Linked DNA regions of Callithrix jacchus. Each later gene encodes a partner of the first gene's protein in a complex. Links are inferred from orthologs where the notes say so. Each region holds a gene or a part of one and is shown on either strand. Other genes may lie near its edges. The genes, in order: DLG4, HTR2C and SHISA6.

Evidence for each region.
Region 2: the proteins of DLG4 (region 1) and HTR2C are in contact, whole or in part, in an NMR structure (PDB 2MHO), measured with the Rattus norvegicus proteins. The link is inferred for Callithrix jacchus from reciprocal best matches to the Homo sapiens genes DLG4 and HTR2C. Residues at the interface, in NP_062567.1 of Rattus norvegicus: Gly74, Leu75, Phe77, Ser78, Ile79, Ala80, Asn85, Pro86, His87, Ile88, Thr97, Lys98, His130, Val134, Leu137, Lys138; in NP_036897.2 of Rattus norvegicus: Val452, Val453, Ser454, Glu455, Arg456, Ile457, Ser459, Val460.
Region 3: DLG4 (region 1) and SHISA6 share a complex: the UniProt entries of both Homo sapiens proteins name them as parts of the postsynaptic hippocampal AMPA-type glutamate receptor (AMPAR) complex. The link is inferred for Callithrix jacchus from reciprocal best matches to the Homo sapiens genes DLG4 and SHISA6.

What each region holds. Positions count from the first base shown.
Region 1 is NC_133506.1:73,693,029-73,696,673, forward strand, and holds part of DLG4 (disks large homolog 4), read right to left. Parts: intron 3,366-3,645; exon of another isoform or gene 2,991-3,365; coding exon of another isoform or gene 2,979-2,990; intron 2,484-2,978; coding exon 2,430-2,483; exon of another isoform or gene 2,429-2,429; intron 2,298-2,428; exon of another isoform or gene 2,296-2,297; coding exon 2,239-2,295; intron 2,033-2,238; coding exon 1,908-2,032; intron 1,813-1,907; coding exon 1,643-1,812; intron 1,541-1,642; coding exon 1,404-1,540; intron 1,258-1,403; coding exon 1,113-1,257; intron 1-1,112. UniProt on the Homo sapiens protein: Postsynaptic scaffolding protein that plays a critical role in synaptogenesis and synaptic plasticity by providing a platform for the postsynaptic clustering of crucial synaptic proteins.
Region 2 is NC_133524.1:110,943,116-110,946,760, forward strand, and holds part of HTR2C (5-hydroxytryptamine receptor 2C), read left to right. Parts: intron 1-50; coding exon 51-364; intron 365-3,645. UniProt on the Homo sapiens protein: G-protein coupled receptor for 5-hydroxytryptamine (serotonin).
Region 3 is NC_133506.1:77,672,810-77,676,978, reverse strand, and holds the start of SHISA6 (protein shisa-6), read right to left. Parts: upstream 2,916-4,169; 5' UTR 2,808-2,915; exon of another isoform or gene 2,455-2,807; 5' UTR 2,076-2,454; coding exon 1,426-2,075; exon of another isoform or gene 1,338-1,425; intron 1-1,337. UniProt on the Homo sapiens protein: Involved in maintenance of high-frequency synaptic transmission at hippocampal CA3-CA1 synapses.

The DNA.
Region 1 (3,645 bases):
AGACAGAGTTTCGTTCGTTACCCAGGCTGGAATGCAATGGCGCGATCTCGGCTCATCGCAACCTCCGCCTCCTGGGTTCAGGCAATTCTCCTGCCTCAGCCTCCTGAGTAGCTGGGATTACAGGCACGCACCACCATGCCCAGCTAATTTTTTGTATTTTTATTAGAGACGGGGTTTCACCATGCTGACCAGGATGGTCTCAATCTCTTAACCTCGTGATCCACCCACCTCGGCCTCCCAAAGTGCTGGGATTACAGGCTCGAGCCACTGAGCCCGGCTTAACTTTTTTTTTCTTTCTTTCTTTTTTTTTTGAGATAGAGTCTCCCTCTGTTGCCAGATTGGAGTACAGTGGCAAAATCTTGGTTCACTGCAACCTCTGCCTCCCAGGTTCAAGCAATTCCCCTGCCTCAACCTCCAAGTAGCTGGGACTACAGTCATGCACCACGTCCAACTAATTTTATAATATATATATATATTAGAGACAGAGTTTCACCATGTTGGTCAGGATAGTCTTGATCTCCTGACCTCATGATCCGCCCCCCTTGACCTCCCAAAGTGCTGGGATTACAGGCATGAGCCACTCTGCCTGGCTGACTTTTTATGAATCATATTTAAGAGATTTCTTAATATTGAGCCATCTTTAGTTTTCTGAAACAAACCCTATGTTATTCCCTTACAATGCTGCCATGTTTGGTTTGCTACTATATTGTTGTAAACTTTTGCATCTCTATTCAAAAGCAAAACTCTCCTTATTTTATGTTATCTTTGTGACCATTTGAACTGGCCTTACACAATGAAATGTGAAATCTTATATCTTTTCCTGTACTCTAAAAGAACAGAAAAATTATCTATCTTTTGAGAATTTCGTAAAATTAGTCATCAAACCACCTGGGCTTTGTGCCTTCTGGGGGAGAGATCGTTGACAATCTTCTCTAGTTCCTTATGGTAACTGATTTTTCCATCTCTTCTCCAGCCACAGCAAGGATCAGCGATTGTGGCTATTTCATGGGGAATATCTGAAGAAGGACAGCTACAGGGATGTCATGGGGCTGCATGTCATGGGGTTAAACAGGATGGGTCATGGGGAGCTTTGGCATTTGAAGGGCTCTCACAGGTTGTGATGTCTGGGGGAGCATAGCTGTCACTCAGGTAGGCATTGCTGGGCTTGGCCACCTTTAGGTAGACAACATCATACGTGTTCTTCAGGGCTGCCACAGCATCTTCATGCATGACATCCTCCAACCCCACACTGTTGACCTGGAGTCAAGGAAAGCAAAGTTCAAACAAAGCCACAGATGGCCCAAGACAGAGGGACTGGGGTGAAGTGATGAACTTGGGCCTGTCCAGGGCTAGTAGGTGAGACCCAGATCTGGGCTAGAAAATGGGCTAGATGGGGTCCTCACCGCCAGGATCTTGTCTCCAATCTGCAACCTCCCATCCTTGTGGGCAGCACCCCCTTCGATGATCTTTGTTACATAGATGCTATTATCTCCTGGGATGTGCTGGTTCCCTACGCCCCCTGCGATGCTGAAGCCAAGACCTGGATGGAGGGGAGGCCAGAGGTGGGTGCCCAGGTGCCCAGGAAGCAGGCTTTGGGGCACAGGACAGTTGGGATGAGGATGGGAACAAAATGAGTTGCTACCTTTAGGCCCTTTGATGAGCTTTATCTCCATGACCTTCTCAGCCGGGGGCTTCCGACGCATGACATAGAGGCGAACGATGGAGCCTGCCTCTTTGAGGGCCTCCACTGCCGCTGAGTGGGTCACCTCACGCACGTCCACTTCATTTACAAACAGGATGCTGTCGTTGACCCTGGGAACAACAAGGTGGGCCTAAGCCAAGGGCTTCCTGCTGCCCTGGCCCTCCCTCTCAAGGGACCAGCATCCTAACCCGTCTCCTCTCCCCACCTGAGGCGGCCATCCTGGGCCGCAGCCCCACCAGGAATTATCTTGGTGATGAAAATGGACGGATCGTCACCGATGTGTGGGTTGTCAGTGCCACCTGCGATGCTGAAGCCCAGACCTGAGTTACCCTGGATGAAGGAGGGGAAGAGGTCAGCTCCCCTCACTGCCCAATTCTGGCAAGGTAAGTGGGGTGGGAAATGGCTTGGAGAGTGGTAGAGAGTGGCAGCCAGAGCAGGAAGGGACAGGATGAGGGGCTGACCATACAGACCACATGGGCATAAAGAAAGGTACAGATCAGGAGCTAAGGGGACCACTGATGGAGGAGCCTGCTCACCCTTTCCAATGTGATCTCCTCGTATTCCATCTCCCCCTCGGTCCCGTTCACCTGCAACTCCAGCACGGGATAGAAACACAAAAGCAGTGAGACAGACATTCCCGCCTGACAACCTGCCTGTCATCTGCTGCCCTCCCTTACTCCCTCCTTTCTTCTACCATGGTCCCAGCCCCAAAATCTAAACAACTCACATATCCTGGGGCTTCTAGGGTATCTGTGTTGACAATCACAGGGGGAGAATTGGCCTGTTCGGGGAAATAAGAGACAAAAAGCCTCCTGAGCCTTGACTCAAGAGGGAGCCCGTAACGGAGGTCCCATCAGCGTGGCTACCCCTTAGCCTCTCAGCCAAGCCCACTCCCCCACCCTGAGAGCTGCTCAAGGACCCAGCCTCAATGCACACCACACAGGCCCACGCGCACACACATACCACAGATGCACATACACACCACTCTAACTTTGCCCAGCCCAGGCCCCCTGCATGTGGAAGGAGGTGTAAGAAAAGCGGGAAGGGAGACAGCCAGACAGAGAGGGGAGCAGCAGATGGCAGAGTGGGGAGAGGGGGGTAGGCTTGGGGGAAGGGAGCTTCTCACCGGATGTAACACCACATGCCTTATATGCTACACACGGACACCCCAGGGCTCAAGTCCACCGGCTCCTGGTCCCACTTCCTGCTCCATCCCCCCAACCCCTCCATATCTACCCAAATATCTTCATAACCCTCCCCTAGACTTGTCCCTCACCTTCACACACATTTGCCCTAAACCCTGCGCCTCGGGAATCCGGGGTTTCCCCAGCTGCAGGCCCCTCCCTCGGTCTCAGCTACCAGCCGTCCAATCCACCCCTTCCTCTAGGGACCGTGTTGCCTAGCAACGGTATCTAGGACCAGCCAAGACCCGGGGAGACCCACCTCCAGGAGGCCCTGTCGTCAGGACAACAGGGGGGTGGGGCGTGGCCTGAGGCCGACCAGGCTCCCGAGTGCAGAAGGGATCCGCTAACCCCGCCTCTCCTGCCCTGGGCCCCGCCCCGCGTTAGCCAGGCCGAGAGGAGGCCAGGCTGAAGAGGTTTGAGGGTGCAGCGCATCCTGAACAACCTGCCTTCCTCTCTCCCCCACGCCCCTCACCCTATGCAGTGCAAAGGACGTCAGGAAGGAGGCGTGGAGAAAGACATCCGGGTCCTATACCCCTCCTCTACTCCCTCCCCCTACTTCTTTCGGGGAAAGGGTTAAAGTGGGGCGTGCCCAGGTCCCTGACGTCAATTGCCTGGTCTCTAGACTCCCAGGCGGGGCCAGCTTTAGGCTGGTCCTAGGGGCTTCCCCAATTGCCTGGGCAACCGAAGCCACGTCTCTATGGCAATGAGGAGAGGCCGCCAAGAGCCTCCTTCCGGGGTCCCCAACCTACTTCCTTCTTT
Region 2 (3,645 bases), on another chromosome or scaffold:
TAAGCAATATAACATGTACCTGATTGGTTTTTTTTCTTCTTAATTTTCAGTGTGCACCTAATTGGCCTATTGGTTTGGCAATGCGATATTTCTGTAAGCCCAGTAGCTGCTCTAGTAACTGACATTTTCAATACCTCCGATGGTGGACGCTTCAAATTCCCAGACGGGGTACAAAACTGGCCAGCACTTGCAATCGTCATAATAATAATCATGACAATAGGTGGCAACATCCTCGTTATCATGGCAGTGAGCATGGAAAAGAAACTGCACAATGCCACCAATTACTTCTTAATGTCCCTAGCCATTGCAGATATGCTAGTGGGACTACTTGTCATGCCCCTGTCTCTCCTTGCAATACTTTATGGTAAGTACAATTTTTTTCACTTTTCAATCTCATATTATGTTATAAGTTTGTGCCAGTTTGTGTTATAAGTTGTGTTATAGTAAACACTCATAAAATTAATTATTTTACTTGTAACATCTGGAAAAAGAAAAAAGCAAATTGTGTGACAGAAGGAATTGGATGTATGTATCATATTTATTAAATAAATCAGTAGCAGTCTTCAAAAAGCAAAACAGACATTTTATAATGTACTAAAATCATACATAGTTGCTTTCTTGCTTAGTGTCTTTTTAAACAATGAATGAACAGTTAGTTGCCTTACAATGTGTACTGAATGGAACAGTAACAGAAACATCTTTCAACCCCTGTGTTCTGGGAAGTACACATACCTACTACCATCTCTGATACCAAGAAGGAAAAACAGGCTCATCCTCATTAATAAATATATTTTAAGAAATCCTTTTTAAAGCTGCCAAACTAAGTGCTTGGCACAAAGTAAGCACTCAATAATAGATATTCTTCTTGTTGATGGAGTCTATGATTTGTGTTATTAGACAAGAGATAGCAAATTAATTACTAAGTATTTAAGTGCCAGTTCACATTATCACTATAAATATTCAGGCATTGAAAGTTTCAATATATTGATTTTAAAGAGGTTTTTAAATTTTTCTTTTGATTTTCTTCCATCCCTTCATTCTGTTCATTTTAACCTAAGGTTTTGTTTCTAGCTAATATTTATGATGAACAATCAAAATTGTTTATGCGATTCTACAAATGATCTTTACTAGGATGTTGGAGAGCCCAGTTTGAATTTAATTGCTAATATGCTTATCTCGCAAAGAAGTAAAATAGACTTCCAGTTGTCTGGAGTGTATAATGGAATTAGACTAGAAGAAATAATATTGAAAGTGTATCTACTTGTTGAATCTTAAAAGAAAATAAATACATCTAGAAAATAATCTCTCATGAAATATAAAAATTAGTTAGCCTGTTTTAAACCTACAGCAATAGTAGACTATCTTAATAGGTATTTTATAAAGTGTTCTCAGAAAATATGCCTTTCTTATTCTTCATCGAGTTTCAGTGATGTATTGCCCTCAAAGGACCAGTATTTTATCGGCTCAGTGGGCATTTTAACACTCTGTTGCTCCAAAATTAAGAAAAGGTTACTAGAATGAAGTGAAACTGTGATTTAGAAAGTATACTTTGTTCTGTTGTGTCTGTTTTGCCAGCTTCTCCCTTTAAAAAAAAAGTGAGTGGCCAAATAATGGTATTAGCATAAATCCAAGTCTCTTAACATATCTATTTTCCTGCCCAAATAAACAAAAAACAATAAGAAAACCAAAAAAGCCTACACAATACCACCATTAAGTGTAGGCAACATTCAAATTTCAAATTACCTGTAAGGAGAAAAACAAACAGGAAATCACAATGAACTATGTATTAGGCTCTTACCCCATGCTGTTATGTAGAAGAAGAGTATTCCAGGAGAAACAGCATGAAATAAACTAGGGGAAAGCTATTAGGAAGCCTAAGATTGATCTAAAATCATCACAAGTGGAGGGGCGTGGTGACTCATGCCTGTAATCCTAGCACTTTAGGAGGCTATGGCAGGCAGATCACTTGAGCTCAGGAGTTTGAAACCAGCCTGGCCAACATTGGGAAACCCCAGCTCTACAAAAAAAAAAACAGAAAAAGAAATACAAAAATTAGCCAGGGATAGTGGTGCTTGCCTGTAACCCCATCTGATACAGAGGCTGAGATGTGAGGATCATCTGAGCCCAAGAAGGCTGAAGCTGCAGTGAGCCATGATCGTGTCACTGTACTTCACCCTGGGTGACAGAATGAGACCCTGTCTCAAAAAAAAAAAGATTAAAACTATCAGAAAATTCGGAATAGAAGGGAAGTTCCTCAACTTGATAAAGGGGATCCACAATTATCCTTAAGCAGACATTGTACTTTACGGTGAAAGATTGAATGATTTCACCTGAAGTTCAAGAATAAGATCAGAATGTCTACTTTCACTACTCTTATTCAACAACATACTGCAGGTTGGAAAGAAAGGAGTAAAACTGTTTTGTTTAAAGATAATATAATGTCTACATAGAAAATCACAAGGGATCCACAAAGAAGCTCCTAGAAATAATACAGCATCCTGCTTCTAAAATGGCCCTGAATGATCCTTGCCACAATGATCCCCTCTCTGTTGGTGTGAGAATAGAGCAGAAGTGATTGGATGCTATTTCTGAGATTACATTAATAAAAGACTGTGACTTATTTCTTGCTTGCACTTTCTCTATTGCTGGCAATCTCTCTTGCCCATTCACCTGTTTGCTCTGATGAAGCAAGCTGCCATGTTGTAAACTGTCCTATAGAGAGACCCACAAGGCAAGGAATTGAGAGAAGCCTCCAACATCCAATGTGGATCCAAGGCCTTCAACCCAAAAGCCAGCCAGTTATATGAGCCACATGAGTGAGCTCACTGAAGTGGACTTTTCTCCAGTTCAGCCTTAAGGTGACACCTTGGCTGACACCTGTCAACCTGGCTGACACCTTGATTTTAGCCTTGAAACATGCTAAAGAAGAGTATATGATATGACCCGATGCCTGATTCACAAAAAACTGTGAAATAATTAATGTTTTCTTAAGCTACTAATTTGGGGGATAATTTGTTATGCATTCACAGATAACTGGAGTAACTATTAAGTAAGTTTAGCAAGCTCTTACAATGCAAAGCCCAGTAGCGATGGGAATTGGAAGTCAAAATTTAAAAGAGTCCCATTTATAATATCATAAAAATCATAAAATCGTAAGTGTAAATCTACCAAATTATGTGCAGTACCTGTGTGCTACGATCTTCAAAACACTGATGAAATAAATTAAAGACCCATATAAATGGAGAGATCTATTCTGATTATGGATTAGAAGAATCAATATTATAAAATGTCATTTCGCCCTCAAAGGATCTGTATATTCAACACAATTTCAACCAAAAATCTCAGCAGATTTTTTTAAATTAAAAAGCTGTTTCTAAAATTTATGCAAAAAGGCAAAAGAACTACAATAGCTGAAACAGTTTTGTAAAACAGCAAAATTGGAGAACTCATAATACTGGAATTTAGGACTTACTGTCAAGCTACAGTAATCAAGAAGAATGGTATTGTTGGAAGGAAAAGTACATATATGAATGGATATAAGTAGAGGATCCAGAAATCCACAAATATAAGCAATTAATTTTTGTACTAAAAGACATTTCAACAAAGAAAGAATAGTCTTTTCAACAAATGGTGTTGGAAATCCAC
Region 3 (4,169 bases), about 4.0 Mb from region 1:
TCCTTTTGGAATTACCCCAATTCCAATATCCGAGTTTGAGGTACCCACCCTTTGTGGATTTGACTCAATAAAACCTGACAGGGAGTATCGTTTCTCTCAACACCCACAATATCAAGCAAGAAAAAAAATCAGCTCTTTTAGCATGCCTAGAAATTTCTCTCTGCCTTTCTCTCTCTTCAGCAAGGCAGGGGTGATTAATGAGCACGCAGTGAGGAAGGCAGTTTTCAGGTGGTTAGGAAGGAGGTTTTCAGGTGGTAAGGATAACAAGCAAGCAGGACGTGGAGATGAGCTCAAGGTGAATAGGTCAGCGTGGGAGCCTGCAGGGCCAACTCATAAGGAGTGATCTGCGAGGTGGTCACAGTGACTAGGGCAGCACCATGCACCAGAAATGGAGGTACCTCCTGGGGCAAGATTTGTTCCCTGAGAGGACTTTTGCATCATGTCCAGTCATCCATCATCATAAGGGGACTAGAAGCCAAGCTAACTCTGCATCCCCTGGGTGTGTCATTCCTAGAGTTCTAAGGGGGAAGCTGGGTTTCTGTCCTCCTCTTGGCTTTGACTTCCCCAAGGGCTCACTGGGGGCCAAGGCAGTGTAACGGGCAGCATTCAGAGTGGAACCAGGGACTGCCATAGTTTGAGCTCTTGGTGTAAGTTTTGGTAGGAGGCAACCCCCCCACCCCACCCCCCACCGCGCTGCCGCCGCCTCTCTCACATAAACAGTGAAAGATGCCCCGCCAGGTTTAACACAGGCAAGAACTGTTAACTCAGAGTTCTGCCTACAGGGTTTCAAAGAACAAGTCCTCAAGTCTCAGCAGGAAAGACAAACATCCCACTCCACAGGATGCAATGAAGAGACACCATCTGTGCTTGGTCAACATGGAATGGAGGAATCTTTATCCCTTCTTCCGGCAGGAGGCATCCTTTCTATAAAACCCTAATTCCTAATGCACAAGAACATCCCAGTTGACCCTAAGCCACTTGGTACCCCTTTCAGTAAGGTTCCATCCAACACTGGTCAGTTCCCTATACTGAAGATGACACTCTGATTTGACTCAAAAAAACTCAATGCCATGAGCCTACACCGAGGTGCCCATATGCCAGGAAAACAGAACCCTGGATCCTCATTCAGGATTACAGCATTTCGAACATTCTTACACTTGGAACTTCACGCACTCAACCAATTCTTACTCTGTCTTGTAAATCCCCGACCACCAAAGCATGCGTTCCCGGTTCTGGGGGAAAAAAATGGAGGAGGGGGCCCAAGAACGCCCTGATTTATTGCATGCAAAAGGAACGAGGGTAAACTGACTTAAGAGGGCCAGAGGAGGTGTGACGATGCCGAGAGTGAAGAGGACAGGCGAAGCAAGCGGAGAGGGTGAGGCCGCAGGGAGACCGACCCGGGCGCGCAGCACGCGGCGCTCTCACCTGTGGATGTTCATCTCCCGCGGAGGGCGATGGGCCTTGTCGTAGGAGACCTTGGCGAAGACTCCGGCCACGATGACGAAGGCGATCACCCCGCAGGTAATGTAGACGGTGAAGTTGGTCTTGTCCTTCTCCGGGTCGTACTTGTTCTCGGGCCCCGGCGACACCACCTTGGTGCTGGGCGTCTGGACCCACACCGGGCTCTGGTAGTTGGTGCACTGGCGCTGGTCCAGCTTCTCGTGGCGCTTCTTGCAGCAGAAGCGGTAGTAGCAGGTGCCGCAGCAGTATAGGTAGCCGCTCTCGCTGTTGTTGCACTCGAACTCCTTGTCGTACTGGCCGCTCACGTCGTAGTAGCCCCAGCACGTCTCGTAGGTGACGGCCGCGTTGGCCGCCGCCGCCGCCGCCGCCACCGCCGCCGCGGGCTGCCCCCGCCGGCTTCCCGCCTCCGGGACTCCAGGCGTCCGGGCGGTGCCGTTCAGCTCGCGGCCGCCCCGGGCCAGTGCGCCCCCGGCCCGCCGGCCCCCGACGGCAGCAGCGCCGCCCGCGCTCAGGGTCCGGTTGGCGGCACGACCGCGGGCTCCGTGGGCGCCGGGCAGCAGGTCCAGGGACTCTAGCGAGAGCAGCAGCAGCAGCAGGAGGCGCCGCAGCGCCATGGCGGGGCCGGGCGGGAGGGCGCGGGGAGGCTTCCGCGGCAGGCCGCTCCCCCGGCCGGCCAGGCTAGGAGGACCGCGGCGCGGGCCGGGCTGGAGGCGCGGAGCGGTCAGCGGCGCCGGGGCTATGGCGCCATCCAGGCGCGGGCGGCGGTGGCGGTGGCGGTGGCGGCGGCGCGCGGTGCGCACGGACCGGCCCGGCGCGGGCTGCTCCGGCTCTCAGGCTGCGCGCTGGCTCCGCGCTCCCCCTGTGGGCTCCGCGCGCCTCCCGGGTAGCCCCATCCCCCGCCGGCGGTGGCGGCGGCCCCGCGCGCGGCTCGACTCAGGCAGGACCCGAAGCGCGGCTCCGGGCGGCGGCGGCGTGGTCCCGTCCGGGCGGGTCCTGCGGGACAAGACGGGGAGCCGGTCACGGGGTGGGGCGACTGGTGCTCTGAGAGCAGGAGGGGAACCGGGGGCAGGCGGGCTGGGAGGGTGCGCGCAGCCCTCGAGGAGCGAGGCTCCGGGCAGGGAGAGGGCGTAGCGCCTGCTCCCAAGACGCGTCCCGCGGCCCTGCGCGCCTGGAACTGAGGGCGCACCGGCCGCCCCTCCAGGCACAGCTCGGTCGCCCTGGTCCCCCGCCGCCCGGCCGTACAGCGCGCTCCCGCCGCAGGCTGGCTCCCTGGGACGGAGACGGCTGAGGCTGGGGTCCGGCTGCGAGCCGGGGGAACGCGCGGCGGCTGGACCTCACTCACTCACCATGCCCAGCTGCGACTGCAGAGGCGGCGGCGGCGGCGGCGGGGCGGGAGCGCAGCGGCCGGAGCGAGCGAGCGAGCGGAGAGCTGCCGGCTCGCCGCCTGCACTAGTGCCGGAGCGTGTGCGAGAGGGAGCGACGGAGACACACGCACTCACACACCCGCACACACGGGAGCGCCGCGAGGGGCGGGGGAGAGGCGAGGGGAGGGCAGTGGCTCTCCGCCGCCCACGTTTGCACGCCCGGGCGCTCAGGGTGCGGGGCGTGGCGGGGGGGGCCGGGGGGACTCCTTTTTGCTTCTGCCCGATCGCGGCACTTGAAGCTCAGCGTCACGAAAGCCCGGGACAGCAGTTAACGCGGCGAACTGGGCAGGCGAAGAGGGGGCCGGGAGCAGGACGGAAGGTCCACTGTGCAGACGGCCCGCGGCAGGGACAGACCTCCCCCGCCACTGCCCCCTCCAGCCCTCGCGACCCGTCCCCACCCTACCTAGGCCCCGCAAAGCGTGCGGCCAGAACAGGAGTTGGGGTTTCTGCAAGCCTTTGCCTCTCCCTAGTGGTGATAGCCAGGAGAAAAGGTCAAACCCATTGCTACAGATTCCCAAACTGAGTCCAGGGGTCAAGTGGCTTGTCTGAGGCTATTGGGCGACCCGTGAGCTAAGCCTATACTTTCTTCCTCTTGGTCGTTCTTTCCCCAGCCCCGTCCCCACCACGTAGAAAGGCGCTAGACAGCCCCAGGACTGGGTGGCAACTCTGCTAGACTTTCTCCCACCCACCCCTGGGAACTTCAAGGCCATTAGAAAGCTGTCTGAACCTCTGAGACTCAGCTTTGTAACCCCTGTGTTGAAATCCCTATGCTGCAGCTGCTAAGGGAGGTGAGGAGGATGGAGATGCAGAGACGGGGGCTTACTGGGGTAGTTTCGTACCTGGGTCTGGAAAGGAGGCCTGAGTCTAACTTTCACAGCTATGAGGCCACCCCAAAAGAGAATCATAGTTACCATCCTTGGTATGTGTCCTCGGAGGAGTTAGGGAGAACTGAGAACAAAAAGCGATGGCCAAGGCCAGGATTCTGCCTGCATGACCGGCGTGCTTTCGCTGAAGGGAACAGACTGTCAGAGTGAGGGCGGTAGAGAATTTTCCCTGAGACTTTCTGTTCAGTCCCACTCATGTGTGACCCAAACAAGGGATCGCTATCAAGGAACAGAAGAGTTCCTCTTCTGGGAACTGTGGAGTGGATATATATTGGATCTGGAACTCAGACTCCAACACACAAGAGGGAGATCCTGATACTGGCTGGCGTCTGCTGGGGGGAGGGTGCACAGACACCCCCCAACACACACACACACACAGCTCCTCATTTGCTGCTATCTC